Linked DNA regions of Drosophila melanogaster. The protein of the gene in region 1 interacts with the protein of each later gene in a pairwise test. Each region holds a gene or a part of one and is shown on either strand. Other genes may lie near its edges.

Region 1 (2,962 bases):
GTATCAATCGGGCAGACTGGTTGTTACCATTGCTCCCTACCTCCTGCTGGGCTGCTCAATGAAATCAACTAGAAATTATGATAATGAAAATGCCGAGAACTGGAAGTTGTTCACCTTGGCTGCTTCGTTGGTTCTTTTATATCTCTGCTGGCACATCGCCTTGTTCATCAAGTGTACACGGTGCGTATGAGTTATTTGATTATGTTAAGCATACGTCGTAGCGTTGCCGCGCATAATTTCAAATTACTCGCAGCACACATCGGCATTTCAGCACCTCGGCATCAACATAATAAATCCGAAAGGGCCGTCTCCTGGCAAACAAGCTGAGACCGACTACCTACCTATATATATATTTATATCCCACGCACTTCGTGGAGTGACAAAATCCGGAAACAACAAGCGACAGGCAGCGGGCACTCATCTTCAATGCATAGCGAAAGATTGCTTGTCAAGACCTGATTATGTTAACTGCCTGCGAAGGTAGAGTCCTGAACACAGGACACAAGATTCTTGAACCTGAAATTAAGGAAGCTTTTGCACACCATTTAAAAGTTGTAGGCATTAGACACTTGGTACTTTGCACGACCCTCACGACCCCTTTACAATAATAATAAACGTATTTTGAACACTTTATTTAATTAACATTTCTCTCTTCATGTGGGACGGTAATTTAGTTTCCTTGCAAGAGATCTGTTTTGAATTGTATATTAAAAATAGAATTTTTAAAAGTGTATCCAGCTTACGTTCAGCAATTCCAATTTTTCCGTGTGAGAAAGTAGCTCAATCCTACAGCTCATGACAAAAACTAGCAACATCCACCTCTCCAGAAACCGGGTCCACTTGCTCCGCACCAGGAGTTAAATGGTCCGTTGTAGGGTCCAAAGCACGGATCGTAGAATCCACTTGGTCCACTGCCTCCGCAGGGACACAAGGCGGCGCAAGGATAGCAAGGATAGCTGCACATGGTGAATTGATTTGTCCTGCAAAACTTGGACATAAGCCATAGTCGAGATAAGAGTACAATTAAATTACGTTACTTGTTTTGCCGGAAAAAAAACTAGGAAATTTATTTAGGAATTTTTTGTTCCGTTACCGTCCGAAGAGTACGAATTTCAATGTTCAACTGAGCTCTATACGGTGATCGATCGGCAACCAAAAAATTGTTCGCTTGATTTAAAACTCAAGGCTAATAAGATGGTAAAAAATATATAATTATAAGTATAGTAGGCTTTGATTATACAGTTATATTAATTATGCAAACAAGTTGTTTTATTATAGCCTGATTATATAGTGCAAAAAGCAGGATTAAAACAAACTAATTGTGAGATACATTTAAGCATATAATATTTACAAATGGCCAGACGTTAATGGTTTTTTACGAACTTCATTCAGAGCTCGTTAAAAAAAATAATTATAAAAGCTACAAAAATGTAGTCATAGTCATTTATACAAGATTTATTTATTCAACGAATGGGCTTAAAACGGTTTAGTCCGGATTTTCTGACATTCTTAAACTTTTCGACAGCAGAGGTGTCAAATTAGTTTCTTAAAAATAAATACAATTTTAATCCATAAATCTATGAATTGTGTATTACGGAGATACAATTCCCATACAAAATGATTGTATTATTTAGTTGCTGTACCTTACAACTTGAAGTCCAAGCTCATTTTTAGTGCAGCAGAATCCACAGCTAAGCCAGTGAAATCCGAGTGCGCATACATTAAATTATATGCACATATATCTGAGCTCCAATTGCACTCGCTGTCGCTGCAATTTCTCCGCCTGGCTGGCTTCCCTTGCATTCCCTGCAGTCCGCCAAGTGCAGAGAGATCTCCTAATGGAAGACGATGGGCATCCAGGACCGAGAACTGAATGGAACTGCATTGAGTGTTTGCCGTGGCACTCGCCATAGTTCGTCCTTTGTTGTAACTGTGGTAAATCTACTTTTAATTCGGCGCACGTTTTCCATAATGAAATCGGATTTGTGGGCCGTGGCAAAATCTGGCGCGGAAAAGCGATGGGGCAGGGGCACGGGGTAGGGGTGCTGGCCATAAATTGAGCACTCAGCAGCTCGCTGCGCTTTGTCACGGTTTCCAAAAATGCCGCGAATACTGTGCAAAGAAAGGTCCCTAAAATGTTGTGGCAGTACGGCTGGATAATGCCGCATTTTGAGGAATGCTCGAGTGCAGCGCACACTAATGGCAGCAAATATATTATGGCTGCTATCATTCGCATTAGCTGGCTGAAATGAAGCTAAAAAAAAATTTCACATGCACGCTGTGGCAGCAAAAAAAGGCAAATGGTAAATGGCAGCAGCCAGGCAGGAAATTGCGCTACTCATACGCACCGTGGTCCCGTGTTACCGTCTGCTGCATTATCTTAATTTTAAAGCGCGCTACAGAACGCTCCGAAAATTGTGCTCTCGTTGGCCATGTTTTAGTTTCATTAGCTCGGCTGAAAAGCCATTTATCAAGCTGTCAGCGCCAATTATTTATATCTCCACTCGTCGGCGTTCACAGCTCACAGAGAAATATTATAGAAATATGTATTATCATGGCTCGGCGAAAATAAGTGCGTCGGATCAATCCGCATTTTGTGTTAAATGGAATGGCAATCGCCTGGCGTTAAATTATATTAATTGCCAACCTCTTTGGCTCCGCAGCACTCGTGCTTATCGCCAAACAATTTAAAGTTTTAATCTCTTGACGCATTTAACCGAATGGCCCGGGGCTTTCCGAGCAGCATTAGCCTGGTAATTAACCAACAGCCCGAATTGGGCAACATGTGCCCGGAATCGCCTGATCCAGCACACAGCACGGTGTGTGTTATATACGCTCAAGTTGGTCCGACATTCATGAAATTCGAGAACTACGGACTACATGGACCGACAGGAAGTGCATACTTGGCAGCAGGCGAATCGCCTCCTTCTGGCGGCAGCAAGCCGTAAATCCATCTCGCTCC
Region 2 (8,210 bases), on another chromosome or scaffold:
GATATTGATGCCTTGTTATTGAGTACGCCACCAGCTGCTCCGCTGCTGCGCAAAAAGGCGCAGGGGCAGGCGCCGGGACACAGCAGCAGTAGCTCATCCAAAACGGAACGTCGCCGCCGCTTCCAAACGTTTCCACAGCCTCAGCTGCAGCTCCAAGCTCAGTCAATGGATTGTAGCGAACTTTATGACTTCTTAAGCTCTAGTTCCCTGAGCTCGTCCACCGATAGCGAGGCGGAAGTAGGTGGTCATCGACGGCACGACACCGATCGCGAGGGCGACGATGAACTCACCGACTGGCCGGGAAACGAATTCGGACCCGGAGCCAGATACGATCCAAAAAGGAAGCTTACAAAAAAATCACTACTGCCTCAAATTCGCTCGGATGACACAATTGGAGAAGATGACACTCTTATGTCTGGCACCGAAGCGGGAGCGGTGGGTATGGAACCGCCTTCGAAGTCTCCAGTCCAACTTCCAGAATCTCTTCAGGATCTTTCCCGCTTCCAACCAGCCGGCGTCTCCGAGCCTATCGAGATTCAGAATGCCTGCTCAGAGATGGAAACAAATGCAGATGGCACCATGCCGGCTTCCCGCCAAATCGAGAGTGAGATGTCCGGCGAAACCTCTAATCCGTTTCTTTCCTCGTCGCCTCCTGGACACGCCCAGGGACAGGAAGTACGTGAGATACGAGCAGGGTGTCGCCGCATCAATGGCGAGCGTCCAGGATTCAGCATCAAGATGAGCGTCAATGAGCGCATCGCCCGATTTTTGCAGGATTCGCAACAGACACAGATCCGTTTGCCGGATATAGAGCTTTATGAGACCGATAGCATGAGTAATCTGGCCACGCTCTATTCACTTACCATGGTGGTAGAGCACGGATGTACAGTGCTCACCAAAACCGGGTAAGGATAAAGGGATACTTATTCAAAGTCTATAACTAAGTTGTTGCTCTTCCAGGAACACTACGCAGACGGTGAGCATGGATCATCTTCAACAAGGTCTGCAGCCGCGTGCAGATCTCTTTGGCGATTTTAAGCGGCGCTGCTACGGTGAGGAGGGAGAGGAGGAAGGAGAGCAGCAGCAGCCGCTTCAGCAAGATCCCGGCCAGATTTAGCCCCAGAAAGCAACACTATAATCCAAACAAGACCAATCCCTAGCAAATGCAAACGTACAGCCATCAGCACTCGAGGTGAAACTCTTGGCATACGCTTGCATTTCTAGGGTGGAAGAAACCCTTAATCTATGAATGCTTTTAGCTTGTTTTTGTGAAATCTGTTCCATGTACATAAGTTGCATCGGTCCGTGTATATACTAACTGACTTCGTTAGGGAATGGCGCCAGCAAGACGGATACCGGATCCCAGATCCCGTCGGTTTGGGCTCACGCTTGGAAGCGAGCGAGATGACACGTTTCAGAGACAGAGAGAGAGGACCGACCGAAAGCCGTCGGCAGCCGTTCCACTGTACAAAATATTTAATGTAAGACCTTCAGCGAATATGAATATAAGAAATATATATGTGTGGTCATATCCGGAATACATGTGGACTTCATTTTTACCTAGAATGTGGTGGATATTTTATATAAAAGAGCAACATCCCAATACAAATCAGTAGCAAAAGTATATCTGAGTATATCTGAAAAAAATTTGAAAATAGTTCAAACTCTTTCTGTTAGTTGTACCGGTCACTGTCTATCTGAAAGCTGAATCGGTGAAACGGGTTATATTGCATACTGTTTTACGATCAAAGGGCGCGAAATTCAAATGAATTCCATCAAACTTCCCACCCTCGCGAAAAAGTTGGCGCATGCTCGATGCTCGGCACTTGGCGCTCACTTGGCAACCCTCATGTGTGTGCTGGTGAGGGTCGGAAATTGAGGGGCGAGTGGGTGGAATGGGGCAGACAGCGCCGAGCTTGCGTCAAATACGGACGCCAGTTGGACGCAGCTCGGGATTGGAGGCAGCCACGTTTCCTAGCCATCTGCCGTGTGTGTCGCAGCGACTGTGTCTGTGTGTGCCGTGCTGTGCTGTTCCGAGCCGCATGTGTGGCGCTCCGCGGACGCGATGTAAAGCGGATCCTCGCCAGCGTTTATCCTCTCATAGCCAGTAACCGGATTCGGATTAAGCTGGCCCAGCCTGTAGCCTATTCTCAGTTTTTGCCACCGCTCCTGCTCGAAACTTCTTTGTCAACCGGCGAGGCTTGTGCTTTTAACGCTTTCACCAATAACGGTATTTTTGGGGAGAGCAGCTTTAAGGGGAAATCTCCTGGCAGTGGTTCTGAATCGGTTGCACTGCATCCTGAAGGAAACAACAGTGGCCACTGGCACCGCGGAGCATTTCCACGATGCGATGCGGTTGCTCTGCTTATTGATTTTTCACCAACACTCACCCACACACATACACTCGCACGCTGGCACCCACACACTTTCAGCCGCACACACAGTCAGTGCTGGCACCTCGGCCATTTTGTGGCTGGAAAAAAAGCCATTTTGAAAGCGGAAGTGCAGCGTCAGCCATTTTCGTTGAATGTCTTCCTTTTGGTGGGCACTAACAAATGGATCTGCATGTCTTTGAGGACCTCAGCTAATGGTTTTTAAAATATTTGTCTGTACCTGGTGCGCATATGCGATATGCGAGTGAAATAACACTATTATTATCGTGATAGATTAAATTTAAACGTGAATCCAGTTTACCATTGCAATTGAACTGTGGCAACACTGCCTGAGAAAGAGAGGGAGAGTGCAGCTTTGGTGGCTTGTGGAGTCCGCGTCCGAAAGCCATACACATACACACTCGGAAAGCCGAGGTAATCTCTTATCAAGCGACGACTGCCCACCCCTTCTCCGGAGTCATCCCGTTCTTTATTGCACTTACATATTTTCTATGCACATATATGTACATGGGGAACACACAACATTAGTCGCACATCCATTCAAAAAGTTTCAGTTCATTATTGTATTGTAATTCTACCCAAAATATACCACTCTACTTTTTCTATTCCCGCAGAAGCGCTGTCATGAGACAGGAGGTGTGTGTGAGCATGTGCATCACCATCTCGCTGTCGATCGCGATCTCCCACTCCCTCCGCCTCGCGCTCTCCGTGTGAGATTTCCCGCCCAGGGTGGCGCAGTTGGAAAATGAGCACGTGCGAGGCGGCGGCCGCTGGCGAGAATGGGAGCCAGGCCAAGTCCGAGGAGAGCCAGCCGCCGGAGGATCAGAAGAAGAAGCAGCCGCAGCATGAGAGGAACGAGAAGCAGCTGGATAAGCCGCCGGAGAATTTGCCCCAAAACGGGAAAACCGAAGCAAAAGGAGCAGAAGGAGCGTGTTCACACCCCCCACTGGATGCCCTCCGGAGCTCAGTGCTCCTGGATGCCGGTGCTGCTTCGCCCTCGATAGACGCAATAGTGGCTTGCAAGGATGCACTGCTCGCCCAGAAGCTCTTTGCCAGCGGGGGTGGCTCCACGCCCGGTCCCAGTCCCACATCCTCTGCGGTGGGCGCGGGCGGTATCAGTGGCAAGGACCTGCTCAAACTCAAGGAGCCCATGCGCGTGGGCTTCTACGACATCGAGCGCACCATTGGCAAGGGAAATTTTGCAGTGGTCAAGCTGGCCCGGCATCGAATCACCAAGAACGAGGTGGCTATCAAGATCATTGACAAGTCGCAGCTGGACCAGACAAACCTACAGAAAGTCTACCGCGAAGTGGAGATCATGAAGCGCCTGAAGCACCCTCACATCATTAAGCTCTACCAGGTCAGCAGAATTTGCTGTGGCAGATCCTGCCAAGAATCGTATTCCTAATCCCGTTCTACCAATCCCACAGGTTATGGAGACCAAGAATATGATCTACATAGTGTCGGAGTATGCCAGCCAAGGAGAGATCTTCGGTGGGTTGAGGCTTCATTTTAAAAAAAATTTTTTAAACTCGGACTGTAGAGTACAGTACTCGATTTAGTTAGCAGACTTTTGAACCCACATTGCGCACAGACTTGTTGACCTTTGGACGAACAACACTAGCTTTAAATCTCTCGCATTCTCTTAAGTTGATAAGGGTTTCAATGAGATGGACTTACCTTTATATTTTATCCAGATTACATTGCCAAGTACGGGCGGATGTCCGAGTCGGCGGCGCGCTTTAAGTTCTGGCAGATCATATCGGCGGTGGAGTACTGTCACAAGAAGGGCATAGTGCATCGGGATCTCAAGGCGGAGAACCTGCTCCTGGATTTGAACATGAACATCAAAATAGCGGATTTCGGGTTCTCCAATCACTTCAAGCCGGGAGAATTACTGGCCACCTGGTGCGGATCACCGCCGTACGCAGCTCCCGAGGTTTTCGAGGGAAAGCAATATACGGGTCCAGAGATTGATATTTGGGTAAGTGGTGCGAAGTATACGTGTCAATTTATCCAAAAATGTATAATTTCCTGCAGTCACTGGGCGTCGTGCTTTATGTGCTGGTATGTGGGGCCCTGCCCTTCGACGGATCCACGCTGCAGAGCCTCCGGGATCGGGTGCTTTCCGGTCGCTTTCGCATTCCGTTTTTTATGAGCTCCGAGTGCGAGCACCTCATTCGCCGGATGCTGGTACTGGAGCCCACAAGGCGGTACACCATCGACCAAATCAAACGCCATCGCTGGATGTGCCCCGAGCTGCTGGAGCACGTCCTGATAGCCAAGTACAATCTGGGCGCCGAGCGGCAGACGTCCGTGGAACCCAGCGAGGACATTCTTCGCATCATGGCCGAGTATGTCGGCATTGGGTCGGACAAGACGCGAGCCAGTCTTAAGAAGAACACTTACGACCATGTCGCGGCCATATATCTGCTCCTGCAGGATCGAGTTAGCCACAAGAAGGAGCAGAGCAACGGCTTAGGCGCCAGCGCCCTTGCCTCGTCGACCTCCGCCAGTCGGATGATCTACAGCTCCAGAAATGACCACCAACCGACGCAGCAACAATCGCAGCAGCAGTCCAAGACAATATCCACCAGCTCGATCCTGGCCAAGGATCAGTGCCACAAAAGACTTAGCCGCCATCAGACGGTACTCATGAGTGAGCGTAACGCCCACGCCGGCGCGACACCCACAGTTCCAGATCCCGGTCCCGGATACTACGCCAAGTATGGCCCACTGCAACTGCCACTGCCTCTGACGGGCCACTCCCACCTGACTGGGTATCTGAATGGAGGAGGCGTCGAGGTGGATGCCAGCGGCATTCCGCTGCCCATGCGGTACACCCCGCTGCCGACAGCCGCGTCGCCCGCTCCCTCTAACTGCTCATCCACATCCTCGAGGGTAGGACGACACAGTCTAAGCTCCAGCTCGCCGCGAAGCCATCGACCGGTGGCCATTTCGCTCAGCATCGACAACAACCCCTCGCTGGCCAACCTGCGGTGCAGGGAGATGATGGAGGCTGGAGGAGGACCCGTTGGAGCAGTGGGTGTGCCTCTAGCGTCCAAGCAGCTTCATCAGACCATCAGCGAGTTCATCATCAAACAGAGCACCGAAGACTGTCGTGCGCTGCTGCAGCAGGTGAGTTTTCGGCTGATTCTATCCCAAGTTATTTCTATCCTTATACTTTCGGCAGTCCACAGCAGTGGCTGAGGGTAAAGATGATCCGCCAAAGGCGGAATCAAGCGTAGGAGGCGTTCCTCCGCCCGCCTCTACCACACCCACATCCAGTACAGCGGGACCGGAATCGGGATCGGCTCCCTGCCCTGGTGAGATTAACGGCAAGACAATAAAGACTATGTCCAGCTCGAGCAGCTTCGATTCTAAGGCCAATTTGGGCCAAAGCTTTCGCTACAAGATGTCCGCCGAGGCCAGCAAGCTTTTCCAGACTCTCCAGGAAAGCCCACTGCCCGTGGAGGTGAGTGATACGTGTGAGTTAATAATTGCTTCCAGCTGACAAATTCCATTTCCTCTCCAGCAAAGGACTAAGCGTCGTGTGCACGTGGGCAGCACCAATGGCAGCGGCGGTGACTCCGGCCAGGAAACGAATGATGCGAAATCGAATGGCGACAGGTGAGTCTTGCAGTCACAGCGATAGTTTCTTGACTAATGTCGTTTTCTTCCGTTTCCGCAGCCGCTCGGAGAAGAAAGTTCTGGCCCAAGGCAGCTCCAGCACAGATGAGGGCTGCGAGACAGACCAGGGCAACGATCCGGGCTCTGCTTCCCAGGAGTCAAAGGGCAGCAATGGCGGCGGTAGCGGTAACGCCAACGGCGGACCCACCTCGCACTCCAGCAGCGATCTGACGCGGCTCGTTGGAACCACTACCTCTGGACAGAGTCACAAGATGCGCTCGTATGCCAGTAGTAGCTCGTCCAGTGGCGTTCTCGCCGGGAGCGCTGGTAGCTACTCCAAAAGTCTGAGCCAGAACCTGAGCCGCGGCTCGTCCAAGAGCAATTGCAGCGGTCCCTACGATAGCTTGGACTTTGCCTTGCCTTCTGGCAAGGGCAGTCTACCCTCGTGCATGGGCTCAAGTTCGATGCTGGCCACGCCCACTCCGGCCTCGGCATCGCCAGCGGGAATCTCATCGGAGCATTCATCGGAAAGATCGCTGTACGGGAGCCACAACTCCTGCATCCATATGCCAGGAGCTCTGCCGTTGGGCTTGGGCCTTCCTCAGAGTTCAGCCTCCACGCCCACGCCGAATCCTACGCCTCCGCCAAATGGCGGTGGTGTCACGTTCCTGGACAAGCGTTCACCCATACACTTTCGCGAAGGAAGACGGGCGAGTGATGGCCTGGTGGCCCAGGGCCTGCTTAGCTCTGGTTCCTTGCTGGGCACCAGTCGTGTGTACGGAAGTTATCGCTACGAGCAGGCCAAGCGTCACGGTTGGCTGGAGATCCAGCAGCTGCAGCAGCTGCAGCAGGAGGCGGCTGTGGGGCATTCACACCCACATGCCCATCAACATCCGCATCAGCATCCGCATCCTCATCCCCAAGCGTACGGCTTGGAAGAACTCTGTCAATTTCCAAATGGTCAATTCTATGCTCTGCCGGGCAAGCATCATCCGCTGCTGACTTTGCCCCATCATCATGCGCATCCTGCGCAGCATCACCATGGCCATCATTCGCTGTTCCATTCAGGCCACCAAGCCACACCTCTGCTCCTGGAAGCCGCTGCTGGTGGGGATATGTATGGTCATGGATGCTATGCTCCGCCACCGCCGCCACCAGGGCTATACACGCACCATCAGTTGGGCGTGGGTATGGCCGTGCCCATGTCCCCGATGCAAAAGCCACCGCTGCAGCAGCAGCTACTGCAGCACCGCCTGCTTCAGCAGAAGCGTCAGTTGTTCCAGAAGCAGTACGCACTGGAGGCGCAGCTAGCCGGTCGACATCACCACCATCAGCAGCACAGCCATCACCACCATCACCACTTTGGCCACAGCCTGGGTCCGCCACCGCCGCCGGCTCCGGCTCCGGAACATCACCTGGCCGACGAGTTGTACGAGTTGGCCTTGCTTGATCGGCCCAGGAGCGGAACTCCTAGGCTTCAGCACTCCATGACCATGCCCGGAGCTCATGCCTTCAGTCAGATGAACCTCAAGACTTCCTACATCAGCCAATCGGACCAGGTGCCTGGTGCGGCGCCTAATGGAGCTGGTTCCGGAGGATCAGCTGCTGGGGTATCATGCTCAGCTCCACCGTCCACGGCGCCGGGTACGCCCACGGTCAAGTGCAAGCCTACCACGCCCCACGGTCACAGCCTGGACTCCGACTATCATGTAAGTAAGCTAGATAACGCATATTAAGATGATTTCTCAGGCATCCCAAGTTCGTATATAAACCTTATCCGTTTTCTCCTTGTGTCCTCCGCAGACATCGACGCCGGTGCTCAGCCTTTTCACGCCCAATTGGCAGTCGCTGGTAAAGCCGCTCAGCGAGAGCCCCATCCTGGAGATATCGGAGCACCTTGAGTCAGTCTGAGGCCGTGTGTGATGTTATTCGGTGGAGGGGTTGGGGCAATTCGAATGGGAGTAGATTTGTAAGTGGAAGTCGGTGGGAAAGGAAAAGGGGTAGGACTGGACATCGAACTATAATGGGGGCTGGACCGGGACCGGGGCCACCTTTTTATTAAGCTCGCAATCGCAATTATGAATTATTTGATCCATATACGATATACACCCATACATACATATAAATAGCCTATATAGATATGAATGCGGGTCGGAATCGGAATCGGAGTTACATCGATTCACGTTT

What was found.
Region 2: the proteins of CG31226 (region 1) and Sik2 interact in a two-hybrid assay, tested with the Drosophila melanogaster proteins (one large-scale study listed by BioGRID).

Annotation. Positions count from the first base shown.
Region 1 is NT_033777.3:18,850,687-18,853,648, forward strand, and holds CG31226 (uncharacterized protein), read right to left. Parts: upstream 1,113-2,962; 5' UTR 1,038-1,112; exon of another isoform or gene 1,033-1,037; intron 981-1,032; 5' UTR 965-980; coding exon 806-964; 3' UTR 744-805; intron 691-743; 3' UTR 619-690; downstream 1-618.
Region 2 is NC_004354.4:2,055,642-2,063,851, reverse strand, and holds the start of Sik2 (Salt-inducible kinase 2), read left to right. Parts: upstream 1-1,936; 5' UTR 1,937-2,230; intron 2,231-3,007; 5' UTR 3,008-3,138; coding exon 3,139-3,753; intron 3,754-3,823; coding exon 3,824-3,887; intron 3,888-4,090; coding exon 4,091-4,377; intron 4,378-4,433; coding exon 4,434-5,531; intron 5,532-5,586; coding exon 5,587-5,868; intron 5,869-5,928; coding exon 5,929-6,023; intron 6,024-6,084; coding exon 6,085-7,732; exon of another isoform or gene 7,733-7,741; intron 7,742-7,795; exon of another isoform or gene 7,796-7,826; coding exon 7,827-7,934; 3' UTR 7,935-8,210. Other genes in the region: CG4281 (uncharacterized protein), read left to right, coding at 1-905, 961-1,117.